Lepisosteus oculatus: one gene and its partner. The protein of the gene in region 1 binds, or shares a complex with, the protein of each later gene. Links are inferred from orthologs where the notes say so. Each region holds a gene or a part of one and is shown on either strand. Other genes may lie near its edges. The genes, in order: srrt and ncbp2.

Evidence for each region.
Region 2: the proteins of srrt (region 1) and ncbp2 are in contact, whole or in part, in a cryo-EM structure (PDB 8PMP), measured with the Homo sapiens proteins. The link is inferred for Lepisosteus oculatus from reciprocal best matches to the Homo sapiens genes SRRT and NCBP2. Residues at the interface, in NP_056992.4 of Homo sapiens: Asp857, Arg859, Ala860, Ile861, Val862, Glu863, Tyr864, Arg865, Ala869, Asp874; in NP_031388.2 of Homo sapiens: Ser48, Phe49, Tyr50, Thr51, Thr52, Glu53, Gln55, Lys67, Met71, Leu73, Met76, Lys77, Lys78, Thr79, Ala80, Tyr89, Asp107, Glu121.

Annotation. Positions count from the first base shown.
Region 1 is NC_090698.1:10,690,268-10,705,263, forward strand, and holds the start of srrt (serrate RNA effector molecule homolog), read right to left. Parts: upstream 5,643-14,996; 5' UTR 5,487-5,642; intron 3,172-5,486; 5' UTR 3,128-3,171; coding exon 3,009-3,127; intron 2,317-3,008; coding exon 2,188-2,316; intron 1,989-2,187; coding exon 1,839-1,988; intron 1,607-1,838; coding exon 1,418-1,606; intron 1-1,417. Other genes in the region: uncharacterized protein, read right to left, coding at 7,496-7,536, 7,768-7,843, 9,722-9,901. UniProt on the Homo sapiens protein: Acts as a mediator between the cap-binding complex (CBC) and the primary microRNAs (miRNAs) processing machinery during cell proliferation.
Region 2 is NC_090708.1:2,219,867-2,234,690, reverse strand, and holds ncbp2 (nuclear cap-binding protein subunit 2), read right to left. Parts: upstream 7,580-14,824; 5' UTR 7,227-7,579; coding exon 7,152-7,226; intron 6,856-7,151; coding exon 6,674-6,855; intron 6,096-6,673; coding exon 5,957-6,095; intron 5,580-5,956; coding exon 5,481-5,579; 3' UTR 5,159-5,480; downstream 1-5,158. Other genes in the region: senp5 (sentrin-specific protease 5), read left to right, coding at 1-34, 439-489, 580-690; protein NCBP2AS2-like, read left to right, coding at 7,885-8,208; meltf (melanotransferrin), read right to left, coding at 11,309-11,379, 11,740-11,929, 12,161-12,348, 12,720-12,787, 13,688-13,844, 14,044-14,238. UniProt on the Homo sapiens protein: Component of the cap-binding complex (CBC), which binds co-transcriptionally to the 5' cap of pre-mRNAs and is involved in various processes such as pre-mRNA splicing, translation regulation, nonsense-mediated mRNA decay, RNA-mediated gene silencing (RNAi) by microRNAs (miRNAs) and mRNA export.

The DNA of each region.
Region 1 (14,996 bases):
CGCCCAATTTTGTGAGTTGTGGGAGAGATAGGGTCTGTTTGTTTTTTTGTTTTTTTTTTGATGGGGAAGGGAGGAGGGCACCTTTGGTTCTGTGGTCTGGGTTTGGTTTTGGAAAGAAACGCGGCGAACGGCCCTGTCTGACTAAAAGCCCTGGCACTGTGGTTTCTAGAGCGCTGCATTGTGCGCAGCGACAGCCCTGTCTGCCTGAACGCCCGGCTCCCTCGAGGACTCCTGCAGATCTGACTGTGTGTTTGGCATCTTCCACAGCCTTGATTGTGGAGGAGGAGGAGGAGGAGGAGGATGAAGGAAAGGAAGGAGGGAGGGAGGGGAGGGGAGGGGGAGAAGGGAGGTTGCAGTCAATTTGAACAAAAGAAAAAATGAAAATTAAAAAGAATTATATACAGTCACAATCCTGGACACTGACACAGTGATCACCTCGTTTATTTTGTTAAGACAGCTGCAGGTACGAAGTACTGGCCCTCCCCCTGGCCTGACACAGGCATGGTTACTCCCTGGTCGAATGATGCGGGTGATGTCTTGTTGCTGGAACCTTCGGCGGCTGCTGGTACGAGGTTCAATTTGACTCGTTAAGACTCTGCGGGGGGGAGGGGCGGGGGGAGGGGACTGCGGCCTGCAGCTGTTCAAACACAGTGGTATCTCTCCAGCATCCCGACCCTAAACTCAACTTTACCCTCTACCTCAGATCCTATCCTAACCCCCCTAATTCTCCAGCCCTAACCCCTAGCGTGACCCCAAACGCGTGTGTGGGTGCGGTGCAAGAAAACACGCCTCGCTGGCCACGTGAGGCCCAGGCTTCAGTCGGCACGCTAACTCCTGACAGGTGCTGCTGGCACGTCCCCATAGTGGAAGTGACTAGCCCACCGTCAACAACATACCGGCACTCCAGATTTAGTACAGAGTGCTTGCCTCTCAGTAGGAACAGTATGAGAATCCATGGGAATTTCCCACAAATACAGAAACGAACACGTGTGAGTGCGTCAGCTCACTACCCAGCCTCCTCTCCAGCTCTCCCTGCCCCTCCACGCGGCTCTCTCGGGGTGCGGTGTGATGTCTGCTGTTCCCTCCCTCCGTTCCTCTCGGCGTGCAGTGCACTAAATGCTGTTCCCTCTCTCTGCCTCTTCTGGTGTGTGATGTGATGCCCATCAATCCCTCCCTGCCTTTCTTGCGGTGCCCTATCCGGTGTTCCCTTTCTATGCGGCTCTCAACGTGCGCTGTCTGCTGTTCACTCCCTCTGCCCGTCTCGGAGCGCAGCGCGCCGACTACCGTTTCCTCCCCCTGCCTTTCTCGGCCTGCTGTGCGCTGCCTGCCCGTCCCTCCCTCTGCCCGTCTTGGCCCCCAGCTCGCCGACTGCCGTTCCCTGCCTCTGCCTCTCTCGGCGTGAGGTGCGCTGCCTTACCACTCTTCGTCCTTGTGCGCCAGGAAGAAGTCCTGCATCTGCTGCCGGCGGAAGTCCAGCTTGTAGTCGTTATAGCGCTTGACCGCCTCGGTCTCGTCCACGGAGTCGTCCAGGGACAGCAGGAACTCCTTGAAGCTCTTCATGACGGGCGCCGGGGGGCCCAGCTCCAGGTCGTGCACGTTGCCCAGCCTGCCGGATGACGGGGATCGGTGGGGAGAAACAGGACACGCAAGGGCAGGATAAAAAAGAAGCACGGGATGAGTTACTGGGGATCCCCTCAGCGGCCCCCTCTTCCTGCAGCAGCTGCAGTGGGGTTCAGGGGTGCAACGAGCAGTAACTGCTGCCTAGAGCTGCACCCGCAAGTCGCCAGCAGGCCTTCCTGCCCCACCCCACCCCCAGCGCAGGAGCCCGCCCCCCTCACCTGGCCTGGATGGGAATGCCATGATGCGGCTGCATGAGGTGGATATCGGGGTGTCCCCAGGGCTGGGGGGGGGCGTAGCTGGGGCCCCCGCCGCCCCCATACGGCAGGTCATACCCTCCACCGTGATACGGGTCTCCGCCGTGGTCGTCCCTGAAAGAGACAGAGGCAGCGCTGAGCAGAGCGTTGGGCACCACTGCACACGACACGAACGGAGAGAGACAGAGAGACAGAGAGACAGAGAGACAGAGAGACAGAGAGACAGAGAGACAGAGAGACAGAGAGACAGAGAGACAGAGAGACAGAGAGACAGAGAGACAGACCAGGGTCACGTGGCAGGAAACGGCCTCACCAGTCCCTCCTCATGCGTTTCTGCTGTGGGCTCAGGTCGTGCCGCGGCGGGGAGAACCTCTCCCGGCGCCCCCGGTCGTAATCGCGGTACTCCCCACGACTCCGCCGCTCCCTGCCCCGGTCCCACTCCCTGCGAGGAGAGAGAGAGAGGAGCACGTGAGCTCGCCCTGGCGCACACTCGGGACAGCCTCGGGCCCCCTGGAGTCCGGAGAGGCCCCAGGCTCGCCCAGTTCAAGACTCAGGGCTGCGCTGTGTACCCCCACCTCCCCCAAAACACAACGTTAAACACTCTGCTTGCTCTTCACACACCTCCTGACCCATCCGACAGAGCAACAGCTTCAAGAAGACGCCTGGGCTGCCTGTTCCAGCCTCCTACTGCCCTTTGTGCAAAGCAGTCTTCTCAATTGTGCTCTCACTTGTTTCTATTCAAGGCAGCCTTGGGATCCGTGAAGAATCGGCAATAGCAAACACTGACACAGAACAAAGGCTGCAGAGGACAGGAGGTTTTTTTAACACACCAAGTCAGGATCACCAACAAAGCACAGCCCAGAGGACACGGGTGAAAACCAAGAAGTGTACTGAGCATTAGTAACAGGAGGCTCTTTACACAAAGTGGTGGGTGCCTGTAACAAGCTGCCCAGGCATATTTGTAGCAGCAGATTCCCTGGGATCAATGACTGGTAAGCAGAGGAAAGTGGAGATGATCTAACTGTTCGATCGATCCACAGTTATCTTCCAGAATCCAGGTGTCTCAGGCTTCCCGGAGACCACGACCTTTGTGGCTGGCAGCGCACCCCTCCCCCCCGCCCCGTGACCCCTGACCTGTCGTTCCAGTCGTCCCGGCGCCGGTCCTCCCTCTCCCGGGACCGGTCGTAGTCACTCCGCTCACGCCGGAACTTGTCGCGCCGCCGGCGGTCGTATTCGTCATCGCTGTCAGCCATCGTCCTGCCCGGCCCGATCTGCACAGCGCACACGGACGACGCGCCTGGGAGACGAAACAGTGGCGGGATGAGGCAAGGGGCAGTCAAGACGTCACCAAGTGCACAACAGCTGCCAAAACACACGAATGCGAACAAAGGGCCTTGCGCGTCGACAGTGGTCGCAGCAGGGCTAGGGGGCGGGGCTCGTGGGGAGACCCCCTGCAGCTGGTGACCAAAAAGATCTATAACAGGTATGAACCAGGCAAGTCATACTTCAATAGCAAAACTCTTAAGGGGACTTAATTTAACAAATCACTTGCTTAACTGGCCACACGCAAATAATAATAACAACAACAACAACAACAACATCACTTTATTAACTCTATGAATCATCACTCATGAATTGGCTACATCAACATCACTCTATGAATTGGCTTCATTACTCTGCTCTCCTCCCCACTGATAGCTGATGTGTGGTGAGCGTTCTGGCGCACTATGGCTGCCGTCGCATCATCCAGGTGGGGCTGCACATTGGTGGTGCTGGAGGGGAGTCCCCATTACCTGTAAAGCGCTTTGAGTGGAGTGTCCAGAAAAGCGCTATATAAGTGTAAGCAATTATTATTATAATTATTATTATTAACCCTTAACAATTTCTTGTATTAGGAATTTGTTTTATTGCATACCCGAGCTTGCTCTCCATGAGACACAGACAGGGAGAGCTTGGGGTCAGAGCGCAGGGTCAGCCATTGTACAGTGCCCCTGGAACAGATGGGGTTAAGGGCCTTGCTCAGGGGCCCAACAGAGAAGGATTCCACTGCCGGCTGTGGGATTTGAACCGGCAACCTTCCAGCCACAGGCACAGATCCTGAGCCACAGAGCCACCGCTCCGCCCCAAGTCACTAGAAACTGGCAATGGTGTACCCACAAACATGCTGGACTGGGGTTCCCCAGAAACAGGGCCGGAGACCCCCCGGTTCAGAATACAGTACAGTCACAGTCTCGGAGCCCAGGCCGCAGGGTAACTCCAGCAGCCCAAAACACTGCTCTCTCAGCGCCATCTTCTGGTCCAAGTCACTCAAATAAAACTACTTGGACTGTTTTCCAGGACACATCAGCAAGCCGCTTGATCGCAGTTTGGGCTCTCTCCCAAACGCGCAGCTCCCGGCTAACTCACAGTGAAGTTTCACATCTCTGCCAAAAACAGAGGAGATCCAGCCAGAACCTGCCCACCCACAGCCTCTCTTAAGGTCATGAGACTCTGGCCTCTTAAAACAACCGTCTCCAGGGGTTTAACTTCCACTCTGTGAGCGCTCTGCGCCCTGTACCTCTTCCCCACGGCCCGCTTCAGCTACGCGAGCCTCTCGGTTTTAAAGTGCACCGTGCTGGCCACAAACAGGTGAAGACCAATCGCTCATAACCCGCACTGAGTAGTCATGCTCGAAACGACTCCCTCTCTCGGAAAGAGAAATTCACAACAGGCAAACGAAACTACCCCAACCCCACCGAGGAAGCGAATTCGGGACTGCGGACAAGCGGCGCTGCTTTACACAAAGAGTGGTGGGGGTCCGGAACAAGCTGTCCCCGCCCTCTTTCAAGAAACAGCAAAGACAGGATGAATGTGTTCCCTCTCCTCCCCCATCTCCCACACCTGTAAACTTCCTGCGGTACCGTCAACTTTCACATAAGAAATATGGCGGTCCTGAAAACTTCAGTGTCCCCCCTGCGAAGCGAATGAGCCCCCCACTAACCTTCCAGTGTTGCACAGAAACCAGAGGAAAAAAAACCCAGGCCGGTACCGGGGGGCAGAGCCCGGTAGGTTCGGCGACCGCGGGCTCTGTCAGTAAACGCCGAAGCCCCACGTCATTCATTCATTCAATCGCACCGCTGCCCCACAAAAGACGGCCGCAGGGATCACTCGCGCCGAGACACTTTCCCGATCAACTTCCTCTTAACCGCGAACAACACTGCGTGCACCGTGAAACACCGTCCGTATCGAGCTGCTTTCGGCGCCCACGAGTACAATGCCGCGGCCTCTTCCGTCTCGCAGCCCGGGCGGCTGCAGCAGGAACACACACGGCCCAGAGGGCTCTCTGCACCCGCTGCGCCTTCTCACGGGAGCCGTTCCCTCCAGGTCATTCAGAAACTGGAAGTGTCCAAGCTGCGTTTCGCCCTCTTTTCCCGGACAAACTGCACAGAAGCCGCCTTCACCCGCGGAATCTTACACTGGTTTCCACCGCCTCCGCTTCCAGAGCCACCGCCGCCTCCGAGCTCATCTACCCCTGCAGAGTCAACATCCCAGACCGCGGCTTCACCGGTAGATCCCAAGGCCTTAACTTACCCCCCAATAAAACAAAACATGACTTATTTTTCGATAACTTACCCGCTCGGCTTAAGTCCCGGGAAAACCTTCGTACCTCCAGAGAAAGGCGATAATTTCTTAATTAATTAAATTCCCACCGCGTCGCAATCCTTCCTCCCACTCCTCCAGCGGGCCTACAGCGCGAGAGAAGACCCGGATGTGGCCTCTAGCGAAGTCTTGGTCCCCTCCCCTTCGCCCGCACCATCAGCCCACAGCGCCCCCTAGCGCCCGGAGGTCTGCATGGCCTTTACGGCTGAAAAAAGGTGCAATATTAAATCACACGCTTAGAAGTCCCGACAAGCCTCAGCACCAGTGTTTGATATGCTTGAAGCTACTACAATTAAAATTGAACAGAAAATGATTTTATACATGTTTCAAGGATAATCAGATGCATTCACAGAATAATGATTCAGCTACAGTGACTCAGGACTTCAATGAAAAAAAAAACGGCATGACAGTCATAAAAAATATTTTCCATTCATGCAAAGGAAAACTTTGCAGAGTGTGTGCTTTGAATCTGGCCAGAATTCTATTTTTCAGCAGCGCACAATTCCCCCCTGAGTCTTTGGGAAACGAGACCTTGCCAGTGTCCCCTAGGCTCTCCAGTCTGTCATCTGTAGACATCAGCCCAGATTCAGGGACAGGTCCCCCAATTGGAAATTGCCCATTTTAAGACCACCAACAAATATTGCAGTCTCTCAGGAGAAAATGAGATACATGGGCCTATTCATTCAGTACAACCCACCCTGTCAGATCACTCACCCTGGGGCTCTGCACAGAGCCTGACGGGAGAGCAAGGGCTGAATAGTCCAGTTTGGCAGTAGGATCAGCTGATTTTTTAAATACAAAAAAACACAGCACAGACGTTTTTTGAGAAAATATTTTAATTTGTATAAAACCATTGCATAGCATCTGTAGAAGAGTAGGCAGTGGTCTAGGTGGAGTGGGTGTAGTAGGAGGGTGGTTTCACAGCAGGGAAGGGACATGGGGATTTCAGGAGGACAGTGGATTTATTTACAGTGATAGAAAAGGCAAATTGAACTGAAGAGCCCCCTCAAAAAAACAGGGAGATAATGAAATATAAAAGTGAGCAGGTGAGTAAGAAAGGAAGTTAAAAATCAAATGAAGGGTGCTCAGGGTCAGCTGCTCTTATAGCACAGCGAAGACTGGGGTGAACATAAGAAACACACTGCCATGGACAGACAGCGGACATCAGGGGGCGCTTCATCACCAGTATACACAAGGGACTCTCGGAGTCAGTTGTCCCGTGTGGGGAGGACTGGGCACTGTGGAGAGACTGGGTCCACACTCAGACAGGGCCATAGGGAGCTGACTGACATGAACAGACAGTGTGGACACTGAACAGTTTCCTACAGTTGTACTGTACACACCGTATCCACTGCCTGCTGGTCACTCGGACCTGAAGCAGCGCCCCCTGGTGGACTCCATCAGTCCCCATGGCCCCACTCTTGACTATACAGCTGGCTCTAGAGCAGGACCTCCCAGTCCAGCGCTGTCTGACACCTGGGTCTAGCAGGTCCGTCTGAGATCTTACTCCAGTCCCAGATGTAACAATGTATTTGCCCTTTGTTTGTTTTTGAATTGTTGTCAGTTCAGGAACAGTGAAAAGAGATTTTTATTTTTCAATAACAGCGAGAATGTGGAGAGTGGGAAGAAATGACAAAGATCTAGTTGATCAGATCAGTAGTGAAGGGATCACATTAAGCTACCAGGAGTAAAGGTGAAAAACACCAGTGGGATATGGGGTACCCAGAAGTGGGATTGAGAAGCCCTACTTGGTAAGATCCAGGATGTGAAATGAGGCTCAGAACAAACAGAATTTGAAACCCCCAGATCGAACCTGAGCCTTGGGGCAGTTTCCTACTCACAGGGGTGCCTTCTGAGAGGGTCAGACTTTAATGGAGGAAGAGGAGGGGAGCAGGACAGTGAGGGATGGGGTGGGCAGGGAGCTTCTGGCAGGTGCTCATTCCCAGAGACAGCTCCTCCTGCAGCGCAGCGCGGCTCGGCTCTCATGCACCCTGACGAATACTCTGGATGATCTGGAAGATGGCTGAGGATAGAACGAGAGGAGGGTCAGAATGAGGAGGGTCAGAGAGCGTCAGAGAGAGAGAGGACAGCAAGTCGGAGAGCATTTAAGAGAAAGGGTGGCAGGTCAGAGAATGAAAGAGAGGATGGTGGGTCAGAGAGAGAGGAGAGCAGGTCAGAGAGCATCAGAGAGCGAGGGGGGGAGGGAGGGCCAGAGGTTTTAGGATGAGAGAGCACGTTGGCATCAGAGACCTACCAGAGCCGCACACGACGAAGACGAACAGCGCCAGAAGCCAAGGGCCCACCGGAGAGTGGTCCTCATTGACTGTGCGCTGGAACACAGGGAGAGGAGAACAGCATGTCACAGCTGGACTGCAGTATCACCTTATACAGCACGTCACAGATGATATCAACTAAAGGGGCCCAGAGAGCCCTAGTCCAGTCAGTACAGGGTCTCCAGCACGGGTCCAGCCAGTACAGGGGACATGGGTCTCTAGTCCCACTCGAGTCAGTACGGGGCTCTCCAGCACTGCGTGCAGCGGTATCAATGTATAGCGGCGAGTTTCTGTGTCAGCATCCGTGTGTATCGATGAGTGGTGTCGGTATCGGTGTGTAGCGGGGAGTGTACCGTGGTTTTCTGGACGTGTCCCCGCTGGGTGATGGTCTTGCTATGCTTCTCGTTAGCGACTTTCATCCGCTGCACCGCCGACATACTGAAGCAATACTCAGCAATACCCGCCAGGAAATAAACACGACGGAATAAATATTTTTTAAAAAAGATTCTGAGTTTAAAACCGAAACCCGGTGACACTGACTAACGATGTTAAGTAATATTTCGTAAAAGCGTACGATTTCAACCACTCCGAACAGCCCCACACCGAACAGCTGCAACTATGCCAACGGAAAAGGAAGGCGAAGCGAAGGCACACGTGACCAGGGTTCGGGCCCCACACCTATCACGTGACGAGGGTCTGTCGCTCGTATTTTTTTAATCACCTATAATACCTCACGTCCTCACGTCCAGGCGACGATTCTAAAGTCTTCTTTCCAAACTCTGTACACGACGTCTTAAGCGACATTTCTTTACGTAAGACTAATTCCTGGACTTGCCAATTTGTCCGTGTGTAAAAAAAAAAGAGATACAACGTTTCCTTATTCCGCGTCCGCCTGTTCCAGACACCCACAACTCTTTGTGTAGAGAGGTGTTTTCTGTTCTCTGTTTTCGTGTTTCCCCTTACTTACCAGTTGCGGCTCGGGTTCTTGTTTCGCTCCTGAGAGTGAAATGATGCCCTGGTTTTACATCGGAAGCCAGACAGCGGAGGTAAAAGATGTTGCCAACGGGCACCATTTGGAAATAAAAACTCAAGTTACCAGTTTTCATAATCAGAGCCAATACTTTATTCATGTAGCTCAGTGCTACTGCGCACGCTGCAATGGACGTCTTGGGAAACGACGCCTTATGCGCTTTATACCTTCTTGTTTCTCTTTTTGGAATACTATGTTTTGGAATATAAAGTGGAAATTAATTTGGACAATTGCTGATAGATACTGTCTTACAAACAAAGTTAAATATAATTTAAGATCGTTCATAGACTTTATTCTGTTAGATTGACACGAACAAGATGACTAATGTGTATTTTGTAATAATGAGAAGGAAATTTTGTTAATTGTTTTGTGAATTGCGTATATACAAATTTGTTTTGGCTAGATTAGCAATATGTTATTGTTAAACTAAATGTTAAATATTGTTAATGTCTAAATGTTACATTTAGAGATTTAGAAATTATTTTATATTTTGTTAGACCTGATTTGGATAAAATATATGTTTTTATTATTAATCTGTGAATCCACAAACGTAAGTGGTCTAATACTGCTCCCTCTATTAATGATTTTAAGGTAGAATTTCTTTTTTGCTTAAATTCTATCAGAAATTTGAAGAATCAAAAAGGCAATACATACAGTGGAAATATGTACAAAGCTTAATTTTCAGCTTTTATAATTGTGAATTCTTATAGCTGTGAAGTGGGTTTATTTCTGTATCGGTTTTAATATTTTTCTTCTGTTGATGAATTTCTGATGTTTAAATAAAAACGTACATCCTCTCGACGCGTCATGACCGGCGGTAACAGCACAGCGCGTCTGAGTCAGGGCGCCCCCTGCCGGCCGGCCGTGGTCAGCGCAGGCCTGCTCTTGCTGAAGCGGGGGCCTACCTCATCTCCGTGCTCCTCCAGCACGGTCACCCGCAGTTCAGCCATCAGCCGCTCGCAGGCCTCCTCGACACCGCCGTCGGCCGGCGGCTCCGGGCCCCCCGGCCTCCGGGCCCGCAGGATCCGCTCGGTGTTGCTGGGAAGCGTCTTCCCGAGAGAGCGCTGCCCTCCCTCGGTCGACATCCGGGCGAAAACCACAACAACATCAATAATAACAGCAAGCGGTATTCTGTCGGTTGGTTAGTCTGCGGAATTCTAGAACGTTTTTCAAAAAATTGAAAAAACTGCCAATCGCTGCTTATGTTATTCCCATACTGCTATATCGATCCATCTTCTAACCCCTTTATTTAATAGGTTAATAACCACTAATCTATACATTATTTTCTCGTCTTATTCGCGTTTTCTATGACTCTGTCTTGTCTGTAACTGAATTTTAATGTCCTAATGTTCAAGGCAGGTTGGGCCCATAAGGCAGTTTTTAATTGGACTTCCTACAACTAAATAACGTGGGGATAAACACACCTTTCTGATGTCATGCGTAGAGATCTGTTCCAGAAACCCCTGAGCCTGTAGTATAAGTGTGATATTGAGTACTGCTCTACCGGGCAGCGGATCGTCATGTGACCCACACGGCTACGTCACACGCACAGCGACGCGTTTCATTCAGCGCTTTCCACTTACAGTACACTTGGTACAGTCACAGAAATACGGTGCAAGCAATGTTTCAGTTCTATAGCGCAGCTTTATTGAGGGAGGCCAGTCCAGCGGCCAGCAGGGGGCAGTGCAGCTGAGCTGGCAGCTCCTGCCAGACGTGCTCCAGCTGTTTCAATGGTGCTTCCTGGTCCTCCTCCTCCTCCTCTGGCGCTTCACACTGGACCTCCTGACTCGCCTCCTCCTGCGCACTGGACGGGACGCTCGTCTTCGCCTCTTGGCCATGTCTGCGGTCTGTCCGAGAGGCGGCGCTGTGCCCTTTTTAAAGTTTTAGAGGGGTGTGACGTGTAACGTAATCTCTTACGTCACTAACCATCGTTATGACTAGTATATGCTAGTATTTACTTCACCTCATGTAATGAATGGGAGATTGTCGCCGCCCTTCGTTGTGATGGTCAGGTTGCAGGGCTGCAGTGTTCAGGGCAGGAGCGCTCCAGGGATCTGGGCTCTCCTCTCCCCCTCTCTCGGACACAGCAGCACCCCCCGGGCCGGTCCACACGCGTTCACGCCTCCTACTGCTCTTGTTACACCGGCAAAGCATGGTCGCGGGAGCTAGATCCAGTATCTGTCCGATACTGGCCACAGAAATCGGGTTCTCCAGTGGCTGTGACTACAGTCGCGGAGCATGCCCGCACGACGAGGAGACCGACAGCAGCAGGTGTGTGTGCGAACAGAGATCACCACACCGCCCTCCCCCCCCGGCGAGAGAGCGATAGCCCAGGGAGCTGGGAATGAAAGCACGACGCGTCCAGCTACCGCTTGAGGGTGTGAGTCAAGAGACTTTTTATCGGGGTTTAAGACCGGAGCGTCGTGTCCACATGAACGGAGATCTCAGTTATGGCGAGAGCCACAGCGCCCTCTGGCGGAGAGTCCCCCGCAGAGCAGAGCCGCGCTAGGCGGTGGTGACGGGGCGCCGCCTCTTGCCGAGTCCCCACAGAGCGGCCGCAGTCCGGACTCGGGGTTTCGGGCTCAGCCTTCTCCTCTTCCGTCCGGACCTGGGCTTAATAAAGCTCTTCGCCTCCATCTCTCTGAGCAGGCGCTGTCTGGGCCTTGCATGCCGCCTGGCGTGCCTCCTGCCGGTGCGCATCCTCAGCTGTTAATTAACTGCTGAGTGATCCCGTGTGCGGCTAACTGCACTGACACCTCCCCCGTTCCCGGTGATTACGTAATCTGTCGTCATCGACTACAACTGCGACGCACAGTAGCGCGACTATTGTGACGTAACGCGATTGTTGCACCAGCAGTCTCGTTGGTGTAGCGGCAGGCTTTATCACTCATTAAATTCTACTCGTCGGAATCGACAATTGCAATTTCCTGCAGGAATCTTACGGTTAATCTCTCTAAGTTCTGAAGCCAATGTCTTAAACTTTGCGTCTTCACCCTACAGAGAGCTACAGACCTCGGCGCCAAGACGATGTAGTGTTCAAAGGAGAAGACTTCATTGAAATACAAATGTTGTTTAATCATATTTATTAAAGAACAGATTTATTTAGACCACACGGTGCTACGCACACAGCTACATAAGCCCGTATTCCTCTAAATATTTATGTTTCACAAAGTTAACAGCTTCCTGTGTATACAAAGATAACTGTCGGGCATGTTTATCTTGACATATTCCAGACATCTCGGAGTGCAGAGCTCTAGATGATTAGTTCCAGCTTTTGCAGTAGCCTTAGTTCTCCGACAGTCGCAGGGAGCAGATGTCTGAAGCCCGTGTCCAGGAAATATCACAAAGGAATGAGAGCGGACATCTGCATTCGTTCTTCTACAAAACCACGCGGTTCCCGAGGGCATTGGAGATAGATTGATCTTGTCTGGGTGTGACAAACCTCACCGCCTTCTGTTTTCGCTGTCAACTGTATCCCGTCGTGTAATCAAATAATATTTTCGCTAAACTTATTACACATTACACTGCTCAATGAGATCATTAACACGATCTTTCAGTCTGGTTGTTAACGAAGGACAATACTCACGCTGGGCGTCCACGGTAGATGACATTTCTGGGCCATGTTTGTCCCTCACGTCCAGCACGAGGGCCTCCTGGGGCCCACGGCTCTCTGCACTCCTCCCCGGCAGGAACTTCTGTTGTTCTGTCCGTCTTCTTGGTTGTTTTTGAAATAAATGTTTCACTGAAAGCAGGCCGGATCTGGGACGTGCTCTGACTCCTGGTAACGTCCCCCTGGTTCGAGTCCCTGACAACCGGTCAACTGGTCAAGCGTTCGGCCGCAGGGTTTGGCTGACCACTCAGGGGGTCCTCCTCCTCCTGCGCACTGGACGGGATGCTCATCTTCGCCCGGTCTGCCTCCGGTGAAGGGGGCACCCTCGGCATCACCTATGACATCACCCAGTGATGTCACAGTGACATCGTCGCCAGTGTGTTTCCATCTACAGCTGAATATAAGATCATTTCTAGATTTATTTAGCGCACAGGAGGGAATCACCTTTGCTCTGTTTACAACAGCACTGGCCCACAAAATCAAATCCACAGCCGTTCGGTTTGACTTACTATGTACATATCGCCAGGCTACATCCTATGTTACCGCTAACTGCTGCTGAAAAGCTGATCAACACAATTGTCTTCTCCCGAATTGACTACTGTAATGCTCTACTCGCTGGGGTTTCTAAATCCACACTGACCAACCTCCAGTATGTCTAAATCTCAGCAGTCAGAACCCTGACCAGGTGTAGTGGAAGTGATCACATTACTCCTGTCCTGGAGTCCCTGCACTGGCTTCCTGTCAGGTTATGTGTAGACTTCAAAATCCTCCTGCTCACCTATAAGGCTCTGCATGGCTGGGCACCTCAGTACCTGTCTGAACTATTTTTGCTCTACTCCCCACCTCACAATCTTCGCTCCTCTAATTCTGGTCTCCTTACTGTCCCCCAAGCCCGTCTACACACTACAGGTGACAGGGCCTTGTCCTGTTATGCCCCCAAAACTCTTGAACTCTCTGCCCAAGGATATCAGAGAGTCACCTTCTCTAAACTGCTTCAAATCCAGACTCAAAACCTTCTTCTTTAGAAGAGCCTTTACTGACCTGGTTCCTTTCTTCACCCCTCTACTCCTGCTCTGTTCAGTACCTCCATCTACTGTCTCCTCTCACTGTATACAGGTATGTCTCTTGTGGTTTGTGTTGCTCTGTAAAGCACTTTGAGAAGCCACCTTTAAAGGCGCTATATAAAATAGTTATTATTAATAATAATATTATCATTATATTCCAGCAGTCCTCCACACCACTGGCACAGGAAGCTCCGGCCCTGACGAGGCTCCTACTCTTGACCAGCAGCTCCAGCCCCGGTCCAGCCGGGCTTCACAGCCCGGGCACTAACGGGTCGTTTGGACCGGTACTGGACCCGTTCCTCCGGGTCGCTCGGCCAGCCCCGAGTGTGAAAGATACCCGACTGCAGGGGAACCCTGCCCCGGGCTCTCTGGTTTCTGATCACACAGCTGCTGGGGAGGCACGGGTAAGCCCGCGGTGGGGCCAGATCAATCTGACGTCACGGCGGGATCGGCGCCTTCACGACAGAGCTGTTGTTTTAGGCGTTGATTGCCGAAGGAGGCGAAGCAGGGCGCTGTGCCGCTGCCATTCACGCCCTGAGTTGAGTTCATTGCTCTTGTAATTGCCGCGGCCCTGACCATTCATACATTTCTACTGTGTGTTTCCACCGTACCGCACCTCCCTCCCCGGCTCGGCCGGCTGCCGCTCACCCCGCCGGCTCCGGCGCACCTCTAACCCCGCTACCCCATCCATCAGCGCCGGCCCGAGCGCCCAGCCTCCCCCCGGGCTGCCCCTCTCGGCGCACACAATGGGAGCGGGGTCCGGAGCGCCTGACCTCCGGGAGCTGGCTGCGCGCCCGCCCGGATAAACAACCGCGGCGCTCCGGCGCTGGAACAATGCGCGCCCCCCCGGCCGCGAGCCGGGCAGCGCAGGCGAGAGGGGAAGCGGCTGCACGCGGGCCAAGAGCCGCACTTCCTGACAGGAGAGGGTTGTGGGTAAACTCTCTGCCCTCGGCGATGGGCGCACAAAATCCATCTTTGTTGAAGATGCTGGAGAGGCGAATCCATTATATCCGGCTATTATTATCATCATTTAAAGGAAACCGTGTGGCCACTCTTCTCTGGAGTCATTCCAAAGCAGCGATACAGTTTTTTTTAACTATGTCCAAACCTAGATAAGCTATTTCACATGAGGTCTGACTGATGCCGATGTAAAAAAAAACACTACTTCACACAAACACAACACACAACGCTACTTATACAAACATGAGACAAATAACACAACACTCTCACACAAACATAGCACTCCCTTACACAACACAAATCTCAAAGAAACAGCACTAAAGCACACAACAGTACCTTAACTACGCACAACACAACTCAGCACACGCAACATAACCTCACACAACAACCCTGATACCAGCCAGCCTCAGGACAGCACTGCTACAACACTGCCTCACACAAACACAACACTACCTCTCCCACTGGTACACATACAGAATCACAACACATACTGGAACACGACTGGGCCCTGAAAAGACAACACACGCTCGTAACTGATCACAGTGA
Region 2 (14,824 bases), on another chromosome or scaffold:
CTTTCAGAAAGGCTGGAAAATGATTGTCAACAAGGTAAAGTAAATTGAATGCTATCCCCACTGTTTTCCTTTAAACATTTAGTAAACGCCTTTAGTTCAGCTTGAAATTAAGCCCTAAACTAGCCCTAGGCTGTCTGTACTTCCTGAGATGTTAGAGAATGTTTGAGGGGACACCACACCAAGCAGAAATTGACTCTGCAGGTCTGTGGTACTAGAGAGTTAAAATTGGCTCTAATGAACAACATTTCATGTACATTTAGATCGTTGAGTGCAGACCTTTACCAATTTAAGGGTGCTTTTTATTGGAATGGCATTTTTCCTAGAAACCTGTTTGCAGATACACCTGACTGGTGCCTTAGAATTGACAGTGTCAACTAACACAACTATGATGTGGATATAGAGTGCTGGGCACTGATGTCTTCCTGGCTTTGTTCACAGTGCATCCCGCAGCAGAAGAATGACAATGACTGTGGCGTCTTCGTCCTACAGGTAAAATAAAAACTGCAGTTTGTGTTTTTTTTTACTTTTTGAAGTCTGCTGCTAGATCTGAGTTGCGTTCTCTTTCTTTCTTCTCATTAGTATTGCAAGTGCCTGGCGTTAGGAAAACCTTTCCACTTTTCCCAAGAGGACATGCCCAAAGTACGCAAAAGGATTTACAAGGAGCTTTGTGAATGCAGGCTAATAGACTGATTTGGAATTGTGGAGGACGGAGCCGCCACACTTTTCTTTTCACTGTTCCTACTCTTTTGAAAAGGACCACCTGAACTTGACCGTTATTTTCGGCGGGCGATTCGTGACATGGGGAGATCAAGCTGCGTGTTGTGTAGACTGCTTTGTTAAACGTGATGTCATTTAATAACAGTTCTGTGGCGCTCATGTTCGAAGATGCGCTGAACTGATGCAGAAGTGGTTTCATTCTACTGAACGCTGGCGATGATGTGCTTGCTGTGTCGACACTGCAGAAAACACAGGTTGCACACTGAAGGGCTTAAATGGGACTCCTGTGATTTTGACTTGCTTCCGGCTTGGGAGTAACTGTCAGGAACCAAGTGCAGTTTGTGTATCTCCAGTTAAACAGCACAGCATTGTGATCTGGAACTCTCTGGTACAGTGAAATTTTATGTTACCTCGCATTAAATTGCTGAAAGTTTACAGTCTTTTACAAGCATTTTCCTGTGTCAGCTGTGTGCCCCTTTCGTGTGCTGATGCCATGTGAACATTTGGAATTTCGTGCACTTTTAAACCAACGGCTGAAACTGTTCTCAAGGCTCTGCTGCTTTGGTCATTTTAAGAACTATAACCAAATTTCTGTTATTTTATCAGTTCTTTACTCCTTTAGAGTACGTAAGCTATATCAAGTCCTAAGAAACTTGAAAGGTTTTTTTTTTATAGGTATTATGCAAGTTTAACAGGTAGTGTAGTTTCCTTGCAGAAGAATTAACAGCGATTAACGTTCAGGTCTTGCAAACTTGATGAGGTAAATTATTGATACTGCATGTACATTGTCAGACTCTGAGAGACCACAAAACTACTCTGTGTGGACCACATTGCTTGATTGTTGGGGAAGAATGTTTCATTGTTGGCTGTTAGCTAAAACACATGCCAAACGATGTTCTTTCTGGGCAGTGTTTTCCTTTAAATAAAACCTGAGAGTGGATCAGTGAAGATTTTTCTGTGCAGTGACTTCTGTATAATGAGTAAGTGCATGGCTTTTACTGTCTCCCAACCCAGCTTTTTTTTTTTACACCTTTCGCATGTGGTCATTTAAAAGTAGAAATGGGAACACTGAAATCTCAGTTTTAGTTTGGTAATTCTCACCTCAGTTTTTTTAGCCCAGTTAAACATATTCAGAAATGATCAGATGTGTTGTTTGTATGAAAACAGTAAAATAGCTTTATCTTTCTACATATATAGAAAGAGAACATATTCATGTTAAAAAGATATATGACTAAACATCTTATAGAATGTAATTCATTAGGAAAATGTGGATTGTTTTTAACTAGAATCTATTTATTTTTGCATTACCTGCCTCTTGATGACAGAACCAAGAAAAAAATACTGATTGATGTACTGAGTAATAATCTTAAGTCTTGTCTGACCATATAACAGCGGATAAAGAAAACAAGATTGACCTGGATTCAAAAACATAGAATACCATTTAATGGTTTTACTTGTCAGACTGAAGAAGAGCTCAGTATTGCAGTCGAATTACTTCTTTAAATACTTATTTAAAGCAGTACTCCTTGCAATGTAATAATTCTACTGAACCTTAAAGGAGTACCTAGGTTTATGTTACTACTGCCTTATGATTAGTTCTGAACAAAGCTATTCAGTACAGGAGTGTTGTGCAACACATACAGGAGACGTTTCAGTCGTAGCTCTGGTGCGTTTTTAACCAGGTGTTCTGTTTGCGAGTTAGATTCTGAAGCACTGTTTACAGTTTTCATTGTGCGATTTGTACAGCTTGTAAGAAAGAAAATTATAACTTGTTGTAAAGAGTACTTGAGGTGTAACAATAAAAATGACTTTTTTAGGTCTGATTGTAGTTGCTTCTTATAGATTAATTTAGTAGTGATGTCCAGTTTACGCAGTGTTCCTTGCATTCTTAACATTTCTGCTTAAAATATTTGTTGTAGCCTAACAGAGTATTAACTTCTTTTAAATGTAAACATCTGTTCAGTGTTTAGCAACAGTTTAATTGTGGGTCTGGCACAGTTTTTGTGTATAACTCATGGGATTAAATGTATGTTTATAGTTCCAGAGCAGCAGTGACAAAATACTGATACACAATAAAAGTGCAGCAGTGTACATTGTTCGTCAAATTCTTTTTGAGCCCAAACATTTACACTTTAAATAGTGAGCAGATCCGTTAAGTGATTGATTGGCGTTGTTGCTTGGGGCTAACACAAATGCTCAACTGAAATCGTTGTTGTTCATGAAAGACAAAAAGACCAAAATGAATAAGAATCTATTAAACCAATTGATCACGGGCACAGTAAATTAGATGACCATGTCAACTTGAGCAGCTTGGAAATTCTAGATTGCTTGGTTCCTATTATCATGATTGAAGGCAGACTTCCTGCTAAATGTTACGTGGAGAATGAGGTTCTGCTTCAACAATTAGGTGAAAATGAGAAACCATCTCTGTGAGGACTAGGAGAGATTCTGGCCCAACATCTGGCATGTTGCATCTGTCTGGTCAAGTCAACCTTTATTTTACTGTGGCAGCAAAAGGCTTTCCATAGGCATGCCTGGAATTTGGTGGCAATCATACGTTCGTTATTGCCGCGTTTGTTGTCTCCAGCAGGGGGCCCTGCAAGTGTGATGAGGTGGGATTGAGTAACACAAGTGTGCGTCTTGTGCAGACTGATGACCTCATTGCTCAGTCATCCTCTGCTGGATTCTTTTCAGCCCTCAGTTTTTCTTTACCAGGGAAGCCAGTCTGGAAGCGTTGGTCTTCCAGCATGACGATGCAAGCCCACACAGTGCAAGGACTCCAAGAAAACAATGTTGTCTTGCCACGGCCAGATTTATATGCCGATTTCAGGCTCTCGTTAGTGTCTCTGTGGGAGCGGCTTGCCAGTGCTGTGACAAGGAGCCAGCTGGCTACAGCTGCAGAGGACAATGTGCAACATCCCACAGCAGTCTGGTGGGAGGCTGGAGGGGTCCATACGACAGTGCTGCTGCTCAGGAAGGTCATACCACCTTTATACTGCTTTCGTTTAAAACTGTCATGTTTCATATTGAAAACTACCGCTTTGTATTTCTGTTCACATTTTCTGTGATTTTTTTTTTGTTTGGCATTTGTTTTAAATAGTCAATTAAATCCAGTTCTAGATCTGAGTTTTCGTGTGTTCTTTTTGCACCAGTACAGTGTATTCAAACCGAAAGCCCTTTCAAAAACGTGTTGAGTCAAATCTGTTCAATGGCCGCTCCGTAAGCTGCTGCCAGCACTTGAAGGACATGATATACAGTATGAAGAAACCTTAGCAACTCAGGTTATTAGTATAAGAGGATACTTTTGTATTGCACTAACTAAAGAATGCTAAAAACTGGATTAGACATAGGAGGCACTGTAGATGAACTTGGTATCAAGGCATAACTTTCCCCCCATCCACCTAGAAAAAAGGGTCAAGGTGGGACTACATCCTGGATAGGACAATGTCATAAATGTATATCGGGCCTTTAAAAGTAGCTCCTCAAAGTGCCTTTTACGAAAAGGGAAAAATAAATTAAAGATCTAAGAAGAAAAAATGACCATAAGGGACTAGAAACAGTAGATGCAATGAGCAAATGCAGCCAGATGCCACTTAAATTAAAGCCTTGCTGAAGAAGCTTGACTTGAATGCACTCTGAATATTAATATCAATATTAATAATATCTGCACAATTGGAAATATTTAAATGCTGACTAGAGGGGGGGGCAGTATCAAGCTGGAGGAACACCAGACTTGAAGACCAAACTACAGGACTGAAACCCCCAAGAGAGAGACAAAGTGTCCATCACTGAGACACCGGTCTGGCACACAAGACAATCCAGAAATCTGCAATCTGCAATTCAACTAGTCAACATGTCGTTGGAGGGTGGAGGAAAGCTCAGAGAACATTCCGAGACATGGAGAAAATGGAAAAAAAATTGCAGAAATACAAATGACAATCAAAAGCAAAACCCACTGACAAAATAATGGTCTTCAGGTCCCTAAATTTCAGGGTATAATGACATGTTAATGTTCTGAAAGTAACATCAGGTTTTACCTAAAGACCATGACATACATGAGCAGTACTTTTAATACTTTTAGGAAAGCACTTAAGCTGAGGAAAAAACTAGAGCAATTTTAAAAATGCTTGTCCTTTAAATGAGAAAGTACATCCAGGACTTTTAACTTACATTTATCAGATTTTTGATTGTTTAGCGGTCAAGGAATGTGTGTAGGGTAAAATTAGAATCTGAATGAACTAATATCATTAATTCCAAAATTTTCCATTAACAAAGTTTTCCTTTCCAAGAAATGTGTGATGCCTTTTTTACACCAAGGGAAAGCAAATATAAAATACTTCTAAACATGCTCCTTTCATCTAATTTTTGCATTTCATTTTAAACAGTAGAGCAAATGGTGCACACATTGTTACTGAATACCAATACCAATGTTAAAAAAAGATTTTAAACACAAAATTGAAAATATTTAATGTTTCCATAAATGTTATACATAGTATACAGATCCAACAGAAACGCTCATAGTTACAAATGAAACTGGATTGGAAAAATAAGCCTTAAGGCAAAACTGGCCAAAATGGCAGATGCCTTAACCAGCTTCTCCTGCTTATTTGTGATTTTCAAAATGTACGAAAAGCATGATGTACTTCAGTCAAGTTATCTTAATTTGGTAAAACATTTAATAAAAAGGTGATAAAAGATCAACTTTATCTTTCATTACCTAAATGTACTCAAATACCACCCAATTGTAAATTCTCTACAGAAAACTAGAATTTGTGCGGGGCGTCTGGTGTTCTTTGGAGCTGAGCCAATTTTCCATATCCACCTCGAGCAGGGTCATAATCTTGCCTGTATTCATCTCTGACCTGAAAGAAAAAGAAAAAAATACCTTATTACAATTTTTTAACTGCTTTTCCATAGCCCACCCCCGGCTGGATCATAACCCTGTCTGTATTTATCTCCGTCGGAGAAAAGAAATGTGCTTCTTCACAGACAGCACTGGCCTCCCATCACACTGCGCGAGCCCCTGGTGAACCGAGCCGTGGCTGAGATCCAGCAGTTGCAACGCACTGAACAGACTTGAAGCCAAACAGCTTGAACGTGCATTAACATAAAAAAACACTGTAAAAACTTTAAGAAACACAGAATAACAGATTTGCTCATTTCTAACTTTTCTAATGGTTTTTGTTGTCGTTGCTGTTTCTAATGACAAATACAACGTTGGGCAAGCAAGCAAGCGCACCTGGCCACCTGACTTCCCACGGCCATACTGCCTGCCTTCTTTAAAGCCCGCGTCCCAGTCCGTTCTGATGATCCGGTCGTCCAGCCTGGTGCCGTTGATGTACCGCATGGCGTTCTCCGCGTCCCCACGGGTGTAGTACCTTGCATTGGGGGGGTCAAGGCGTTGCAGCAAACGAAAACGTACAAAATGTGACAAATTGCCTATCTCGGGAAGAGGGAGGGAGACAGGCCTTGGATTTCCTTGCTACGGCGGCCCAGGCACAGCGAGGTGAACCTCCTGCACCCCCCTCTCGATCCTCCCTTCTCCGTGACACTGAAAACATTACATTACATTTCTTCGCCTGGCAGACGCCTTTACCCACAGTGAATTACAACAGCATGCCGTGAAGGCGCAAAGGGTGCAGATAACAGTAACACTACAGAAGACTCCACCGTGCCATTTAACTCCTGGGATATTGCTCTCAAGTAAGAAGTCTCTGTGTTGCACGTCAGATTGTATAAAACATTAAAAATGTAAAACGTTTAAGACGCGTCACTACTCTATAAATATACAGTCAGAACATTTAAATAAATATTCCATCTAGTATATCAATTCTGTACAATAAATATACATGCACCGGATAGCTGCATTAAAAAGGAGTTACAACTCCAGAATTACCAATATCCAAAAAGCCGAAAGACAGGTCAGCAATCGCGACTGTTCTGTGCAAAAGGATACTCGACGAAGCAGAAGCCACAAGCGGTCTTCTTCACCTTGTCCAGACCCATGATGATTCTCTTCACGTCGCCGCTCTTCGAGAACAGCTCATACACCTGCTCCTCCGTCGTGTAAAAGGACAGGTTTCCCACGTAGAGGGTGTTGCTCGCCCGCAGGAGCCGTTCCTGTTCGTGGCGATTACCCTGGAGACAAAGTTCCACTTCACACTGTTTGTCGTTCCCTCCATCTCGCTACCGCAACCTTTCTTAAACTTACCTAACGAACGGTACTTTCATCTCTGCTCGATACCACGGCCGGGTAGCGTCCGAAACACAACTCTGAACACGACTGAGGTGCAAATCAAACTAACTTTTAATACACCTAATTACCAGAACCTGTTTACGCCTTGCATCTGTGTTCCTGCTTCGGCGTGTTAAATCCTGTTTTCCTAACAAAAACGCACAACGTTAAGAGTAATACTAAAGTTTTTTCACCTTACCTTGAAATGTTGGTCTCTGTACTGGCTTATATCGACGTAAGAGTCGCTGAGGAGTGCGTTTAATTGAATAGACATCGTAAAAGAACTGTAACAAAATCCACACAGAAACAAACCAACAGGGCACCCACACAAACAGCAAGACTCCCAGAACGCCGCCTTCCGGTGCGGGAGAGCCAATCAAATAAAGCTTCCGGTCCGTACAGTAAGGGCGACCGTGCGGAAACAAGGGCGGCCCGTATCGGTGACCATACAGCTCTCAATTTTCTTATATTGTTTTACTGTTTATTTGTTTTTATATTAATATAACCACAATAAGAGAGAAGACAAAATGTACGATTGTGAGAACACAGAGTTACTGTAGGCTTTCACGAGGGTTACCAGCAGCTATTTAAATGCTGCTTTTAAGTGTTTAGATTTCGATCGCACTAATAAATGCAATCATTGAATAATAATAAAGGACGTCCCTTCTTCAAGTTTATTTCATTTTCAGTTGTTTTCGTTAATCACATAAAGCATTACTCAGTAGAATCCGATACCTTATTAGCAGCTTCAACAGGGGGACGGTTGCGGTGCAAGACCGGAAATCAGAGCTTTTCAGCCGGCAGATCTTTCTGGTAGGAACATTGAAACTGCTTTCAATTTATTTGTGAGTATAACGCCGCGCAACAAATTTATTAACCGTCTTTTCCGTTGGCTCTCGTCGTCTGCAGGTCCCCGGATCCCTGGCTTGAAGATGGTTTTGAGGCGCCTGCTGTTCACCCTGTTGAACAACGCGCAAGTGATCGAGAAGCTCTCCGAGTCTCGCCCTATCCGCCGGGCGGCGCAGATCACGGCCTACGCCATCACCAAGGCGCAGATCAGCGGCAGGGACGCGGCGTCCAGGCTGCTCAAGTCGGACACCGTCCGCCAGGTGCGAGAGGAGACGGCCGGGAGGATGCCGAGGGACGTGGGCGAACTGGGAAGGAGAGTCGGGAGACTGGGGCAGATGTTCGTCAGAGAGGTCAAGGAAGGCGTGAGGGACGCCTCCCGACAGCTCAAAAACAAGGACAAACAGTGAGGGCTTGCGGAACCGTGGACTTCTGAATTGACCTGTAATTATCTCAGTAGCTGCTGAAATCCATGTCGTTTTACCACCGGGAGATGTGTCGTTTTCCACACTGTAATTAAGCGGTATTTGAATTATGGAGGCGACACTGCGGGGAAAGTAATGAAGACGACGACTTTCTGTTCAGCTCACGGGTCCAAACTCCCGTTTTGACGGCTAGGATGAAAAATATCCGAGACGTATTTTTGCGAGTCTGTGAACGTTACAAATCAACGCAATTAAAAAAAATAAATAACCCGCACCTTGTCGTAAACTGTAAACACAATGCCACAGAACGTCGAAAGAAGCAATCCCGTTATGTAAGATATGCATATTGTTCATTTTAACTTTCATTGATAAACACTGTATCGGGTCTGGTGTGTAATGTAGATGAGAAGATTAAATTGAAAAGAGTGTTTTCATGAAGTATTTGCCTTGTTTTTATGGACTGCAGCTCTTGTCAGTCAACTGTGTACGACTTTCATGGACTGGTCGCTACTGTCGGCAGAGGAAAGTGTACAAGTTTCCATCCGACATATGTTTTTTTTTTAAGGGGGTTGGTTATTTGTCGAGCCAAAGTACATAAACCACCTTCATTTTTTTAAAAATTAAATATATACCCACAGAGCCCACCAAACTCAGTGTCTGGGACTTGAAAAGGGGAATAAATAATGCGGTGTTCCTAACTTTTCTTGCTCCGTTTTATCCAAACCCATTGTAGTTCTCCTACTTCGCCACAAGATGGCCGGGAGTCTGGAAAAAAACTACCCGAGTCCTGTTTTCGGACCCCGACACCGTAGTGTTTGCTGGAAGACTGCCACTTCTCCCTAGACAGACAGGCAATACCGAGGCCGAAACAGAACCGAAGTTCTGTAAAGCGCTTTGAGAAGGTGCTATATAAAATAAAGTGTATTACTATTACTTTCCGTAGATAAGTTGCTTCAGTCCTAACCAAAGCTTTTACTATAGTAAATGCATGTATACTCTTCTCTATTCTTTATAACACATCTCATAGAAATGTTGGCTTTATTAATGTGTAGAACCTCTGTGCTTAATCTCTGCTGGCTTCATCACTTATTATATTTTTCTGGTGCAGCTTCTATTTGTTTTTGCCGTCACAACCCTTGATAACAGGAGGGAAAAGCACTGTCAGCTCCTGTACACTCGTGACTGCAGTATATTGTTAAATTTCACCTAAACATCATTTAGTGATCTTCAGGCTTCTAAGGCTACATTGGTGCACATTATTATTGTCTAGGAAGTGCAAACAGCTTTGTATCCTGTTTTATCTTATCTGTTCTGTTTTATCTGAGGTAAGCTTTCACGTTATTAGGTTCAAAGTTACATCCGCCTGGAAAAGATTTCACGACTGCACTCGGGTGAATGAGGTCTCAGTTTATTTATGAATCATAGTGTGGTTTTTAATCAAAGCTTTATGTACCTATACTTAAGCAGACGCACTGGCCTGGCAACTAAATATTAGTTACAATACAATATTTCATTGAAGAAATCAATATGACCTTTGAAGCAAGCAATAATATTCAAAGAACAGGGAGTCAGTACATATACACTGATATGGTATCTGAGCACCTTATAAAAATAAATCTTTGTTCAATAATACACAAAGAAACTCTGCAGAAAACATTTTGGAAAGAAATGCCATACTGAAAGGACAATAATGCAGCCTAGAGGGAATACTACACCTGATTATAGTACAGACTTGGTCAGTAAAAGCTCAGAATTATTATGAAGGCATTGTGCAGCAGAGAACTCGGACTTTCCATGTCTTTGATCATTCCAGAAATTAAAACACATGGGTTTTACGGTGATGCCAGCTGAAGTGATTTCCTGACAGAGAAACATGCAAAGTACTACTTTTTAAACTGGCATGATCTTCCCAAAGTTACCAGCGGTCTCAATCAAGCAGTAGGTATGGAGTAATGGATGCTGTGTCATGCTCTCATAGCTGTGAAGGTAGAGAGACAGAATTCCTATCAATCTGACCTTCAGGTATTAGTTCACTGGGAAGCTGTGATTCTGCTTTGTAGAAATAGGCAACTAAGTAAATCACATTTGAAAGCTAAGAGAGACATTTTCTGCCTCACGTCTGTGACCTCCCAAAACAATAAGCAAAGTCTTCCTCAGCTGCTCTGCTCATAGGAATTTACACTCCACATTCCAGACACCCAGGTCTAAATTAGTTTAATCTTAGTTCTGCACTGAGCAAATCACTGTTGCCATTAAGCGTGTGTTTAACAGCGTTCTTTCTGAGGTTTGGGGGGAACACACTGACACGGCAGGTACATGCAGAAAACAGCACAGGCTGTCGCCCTCCTGCCTGTGTCTGCAGAAAGAAACAAGTGTGAATTTAAGCAGCACGGCCCTGTTGCTTCGTTGCTGCTTCGTTGCTGGCTTGGCGTTAGTTTATCAAGGCGAGACAGAAAAGTGCAGGTCCCAGCACATTCCAAGACACAGAGAGCACCCCAAGAAGATAAGATTATGTAACAGGCAATGCATATGCACTGATATGGCAACTGCCTTTAGACAACAAAGGACAAAGTTTTTAAATATGACTACACATCTGTAGGATATGATATAAGTCTGCAGGAGCTTGACAAAGAGGCTCCAGATGTAACAGGCAAAGCATATGCACTGATATGGCAACTGCCTTCAGATGCTAAGGATCACAGCCAGGCAACATGCACCAGCATGGGACCTGCCTGCCTGGAGCTTCCTGTGGCACTGTGGAAGGACTGGAGAGGTAGGAGGGGGATTAATGATTGTGGACAGACCCTCTTTCCCAAAACCTGCCACCTCCTTCCCTCAGGGTGATCAACACACCTGAGGCACGAGAATCCCTGGATTTAAACATTCGAGACGATTTGGACTGGGGGTGGAGTGTCCAGCCCAGCTACAAATTGAGAGAAAAAAAAACATTTGGCACATTGAAAAATAGGACCCTAAAATCCCTGCAAATTTGCTATCTGAATCACTGAATAACGATTCTTAAAAATTGTCCAAGAATCAGTGAGACGTGGTGTTTCTTTGTCACTGTCTTCCCAGGAAAGTAGGTTTATATGTTGAAGATGATCAAGAGGAAGCCGAGTCCCACTACAAGCACCGTGGACACTGAGGAGACCGCTCCTGGCAAACAAACAGAGAGGGGTTAGAGCACATGAACAGCTCCATCTTCCAACCTGGTCATTTGCCGGGCTTCGGCCAGAGAAAAGCCTCAATTTACTACCCTTCCAGTAAAGCTTCTCTCTCATCAACTGCAGAGCTTTGATCACGGTTGTAAAAATGATTCTAATTTCATGCATTAAAAAAAGGAAATTATATTCCTGGCTAAGACATAAAAATTACAGGGCAACTGGAAACCACGCAACTCATCATCCTCTCCTGTTCTTGCTCAATCAATCGAGCTCATGAAAGAACTTCGGCCTTCGTACAGATGCAGGCCAAGGCAAGCACTGGCAGCACAGTAGGGCATCGGATCGTTCATACCTGCAGAGTTGCATTCCATCACATTCATGGCGTCCATGTAGCTCTGGCCCAGCCAGTCCGTGTAGGTCCTTTTCTCTCCGACTCCTATCAGGCGGACTGTGGAATCCTTGAAAATCAGATCCGTACCTCCAAAGGCAGAGGAATCGAACATCTTGAATCCGTTCGGATTGTTGTCATCCCCAAAGATGGCCTGCAAGTGAAAGGCTGATCGTTAACGGAACACGATCCGCACAGAGCCTTGCCGGTCAGTCCCGTCAGCAGGAGGCGGATTCACTCCGGACAGACTCAGGCGTGCAGAACTGGAGACGGGGCCTTTCCTGCACGATGACTAAAACCGCGGCTCGCCCAGCCCTGGGCGCCACGAAGCTCAGCTGGTTCACGAGGCCGGGAGGGAGGGGGGCTCCGGGCAGCCATGTCTCACCTGGGCTCTGTCGAGGAGTCCGTACACCGCGTTGGCGTCCGTGTCGGGGCGCACCATGACGGCGTGGGCAGGCACGCGAGCCAGGTTACAGCGCGCGTACTGCGAGACCTCCGCGCGAGCCCCATTGGGACACAGCAGCTGGAAGTCCCTCGACTGCAGGTTGACGGCCCAGAGATCAGTGTTGTGACCTGCCGGACAGGAGGGGCACAGGAGGCGCGTTTGCCGTGAGCCACACGCCGACTTGATGGAGACCAGGGACTCTGGTGGACGGCACTCGATCTGGAGAGCCTGTGTTTCATTTACTTCACTAGTTGTCCTACTTTCACAGAGCTGCTCTGCCTGGACCGCTGTGCACTGTGGTACCAATGTGCAGCAGTGTTGCACGCAGGTGTCTTTCTAGAAGCAGCTGCGAACCGTGGGCACGTGTCAGCGCTCATGGTTTGGGCTGGGACACGCAGGGCCCCACGGGAATGCTGGGAAAGGATTATTTAGGCATTCCTAACGACTGATGGCTTTGTTTGAGGCACGTCCATGCGTGGTCTGATTCTCCGGGACATACCGTCAGTGTTGTCGAAGACCGTGGTGTGCTTCACGAAGGCCACCTCTCCAGCGCTTTCTGATAAACACCTGCAACAGAACCAAGGAGGCACTTTGGGACGTCTATAATGGCGGCAGCATCACTGCAGGGGCCCTGGTGAGGGCAAAGCCTTCATGAAACCTGTCTGGTGAGAATGAACTCTCACACTCGCTGGCACGAAGACGGCATCGGCAGCAGCAGAGCGCACCACCGATCTCACGCTTGTCCCAGAACAATCCCACGCTCGGGTTCAGCACAGACGCTTCCACACCCTCCTGACCCATTTTAGGTTTCCTGTGACGTATTTAAAACTCATCCTTCCTTGCAAGACAGGATGAGACCTTGCACCACGACAGTTCATTCCTCAAATGACCAATACAGAGGCTGAATCAGAAGTCTCAATCCAGAGGACCTAGCCCCACTGAACATCTCCCTGTGAGACACCTGAGATGAGTGGTCAACAGCCCAAAATCAAACAGCACTGCAGCAGAGAAAGAGATCATTGGGAAAGAGTTTCCATCTTAAAAAAAGTTCAAGAAAAACATTTGTATAGGAATTAATATGTATGTGTTAACAGCAATCAATTACACAATAAATTAATGAAGAGTACATTAATTTTCCCCATGGGTCCAGACTTCTGGTACGTGCTGAGTAATAATTGTCAATTATTGGCACTGGTGTTTCCAGTGGTGATCAAAAGGTGTTGATCTTATTTAATTCATGAAAATGAACACAAAGTACACGTGAATCAGAGTGTTCATCCCAGGACTGTGCTGGCTCTTCTTTCTTGCTGAGTGTTTAATTGTACTATGGTGTTTCATTGTTGTTATACTGTATTATTGTCATGTATGTTATATGCTTATGAGCTCTTGATGGGGAAAGACAAATTCCCCTAGGGGCAATAAAGGTGAATTCATTCACTCACTTCAACGGATGCATTCGGTGCCTACCTGAAGGCGCCGCTGTATCCATAGTAACGCTCCAGGTCGCTGCGATCACATTTGTGTTGCCCGGAGACGTCCCCGACGCACAGCTGGCACAGGCTGGGAGGGTAGCCGGGCTGATTGGCTCCGGGAACACAGCTGGAACGGAAGAACTCCCCCGCAGCTGAGAGGGAGAGGGCACGCGCGTGGATTACTGTCTGTGGGTTTCCAGAACAGACTCAAACCCTGTGGCCCCGGGGGGGCCTGCTGTGTTCATGCTCTACAGTCAGGGGGTTTCCTGCCTCAGGCCTATAAATCCCACTTCCCATCGGTCAGCTCCCTGCCCCCTCCCTGCCCTCGCCGTGACGGGACAGGCCCGTTACCTTGGGCGAACTGGCAGCCCCGCGGCCGGATCATCCCTTTCTCCATGAGGACTCCGACTGGGACGTTCCAGCCCGCCGTCCTCCCGTAGCCCGTGTGGCAGCTCCTCCTGCCCTTCAGCTCGTTGAAGTTGAAGGCGTCCAGGCTGGACTTCTTGACCACTGCCACTGCGTAGTAGGAGCTGCCCTGGGTGTCGTCTGCAACCACATGGCGGAGAGAGAGAGAGAGAGAGAGAGAGAGAGAGAGAGAGAGAGAGAGAGAGAGAGAGAGAGAGAGAGAGAGAGAGAGAGAGAGAGAGAGAGAGAGGAGTGTACCGGCCATCCGTGCGATTTCACTGGGACACTGACTCGCGCTGTTCTCTCGGGATGTGCACAGCACTGTGCGAAGGACAACACCACACAACGTGCGCAGTACTTTACAAAACAGCCAGTAGTAAATAATGACAATCACAGCCGACGTCATGCAAGGGGCAGAACAGAACAAGGGCCCAACCAACCCCTGCAGAGCCCAGAGCTGTGGTGAGTCTGAGGCATCGTGCACTTAAACGGTAATGATGCACTCTGTCCGAGGGCAGAAGGTGTTCTGAAGTCTAGTGGTCTGTGCTTCACTCCTGCCTGTGCACTGGGACCTGCAGGCAGCTCGACTGCTCTTCGTCTGGGGGAAAGAGCGAAGTGGACAGACCATGCAGCACAGACTTGATGCAGAATTCAGTTTACACTGACAGGCTACAAGAGCTGACTCTTCTCAGCCTCGAGCAGGGAAAACTACGTTATCCCAGCCTGA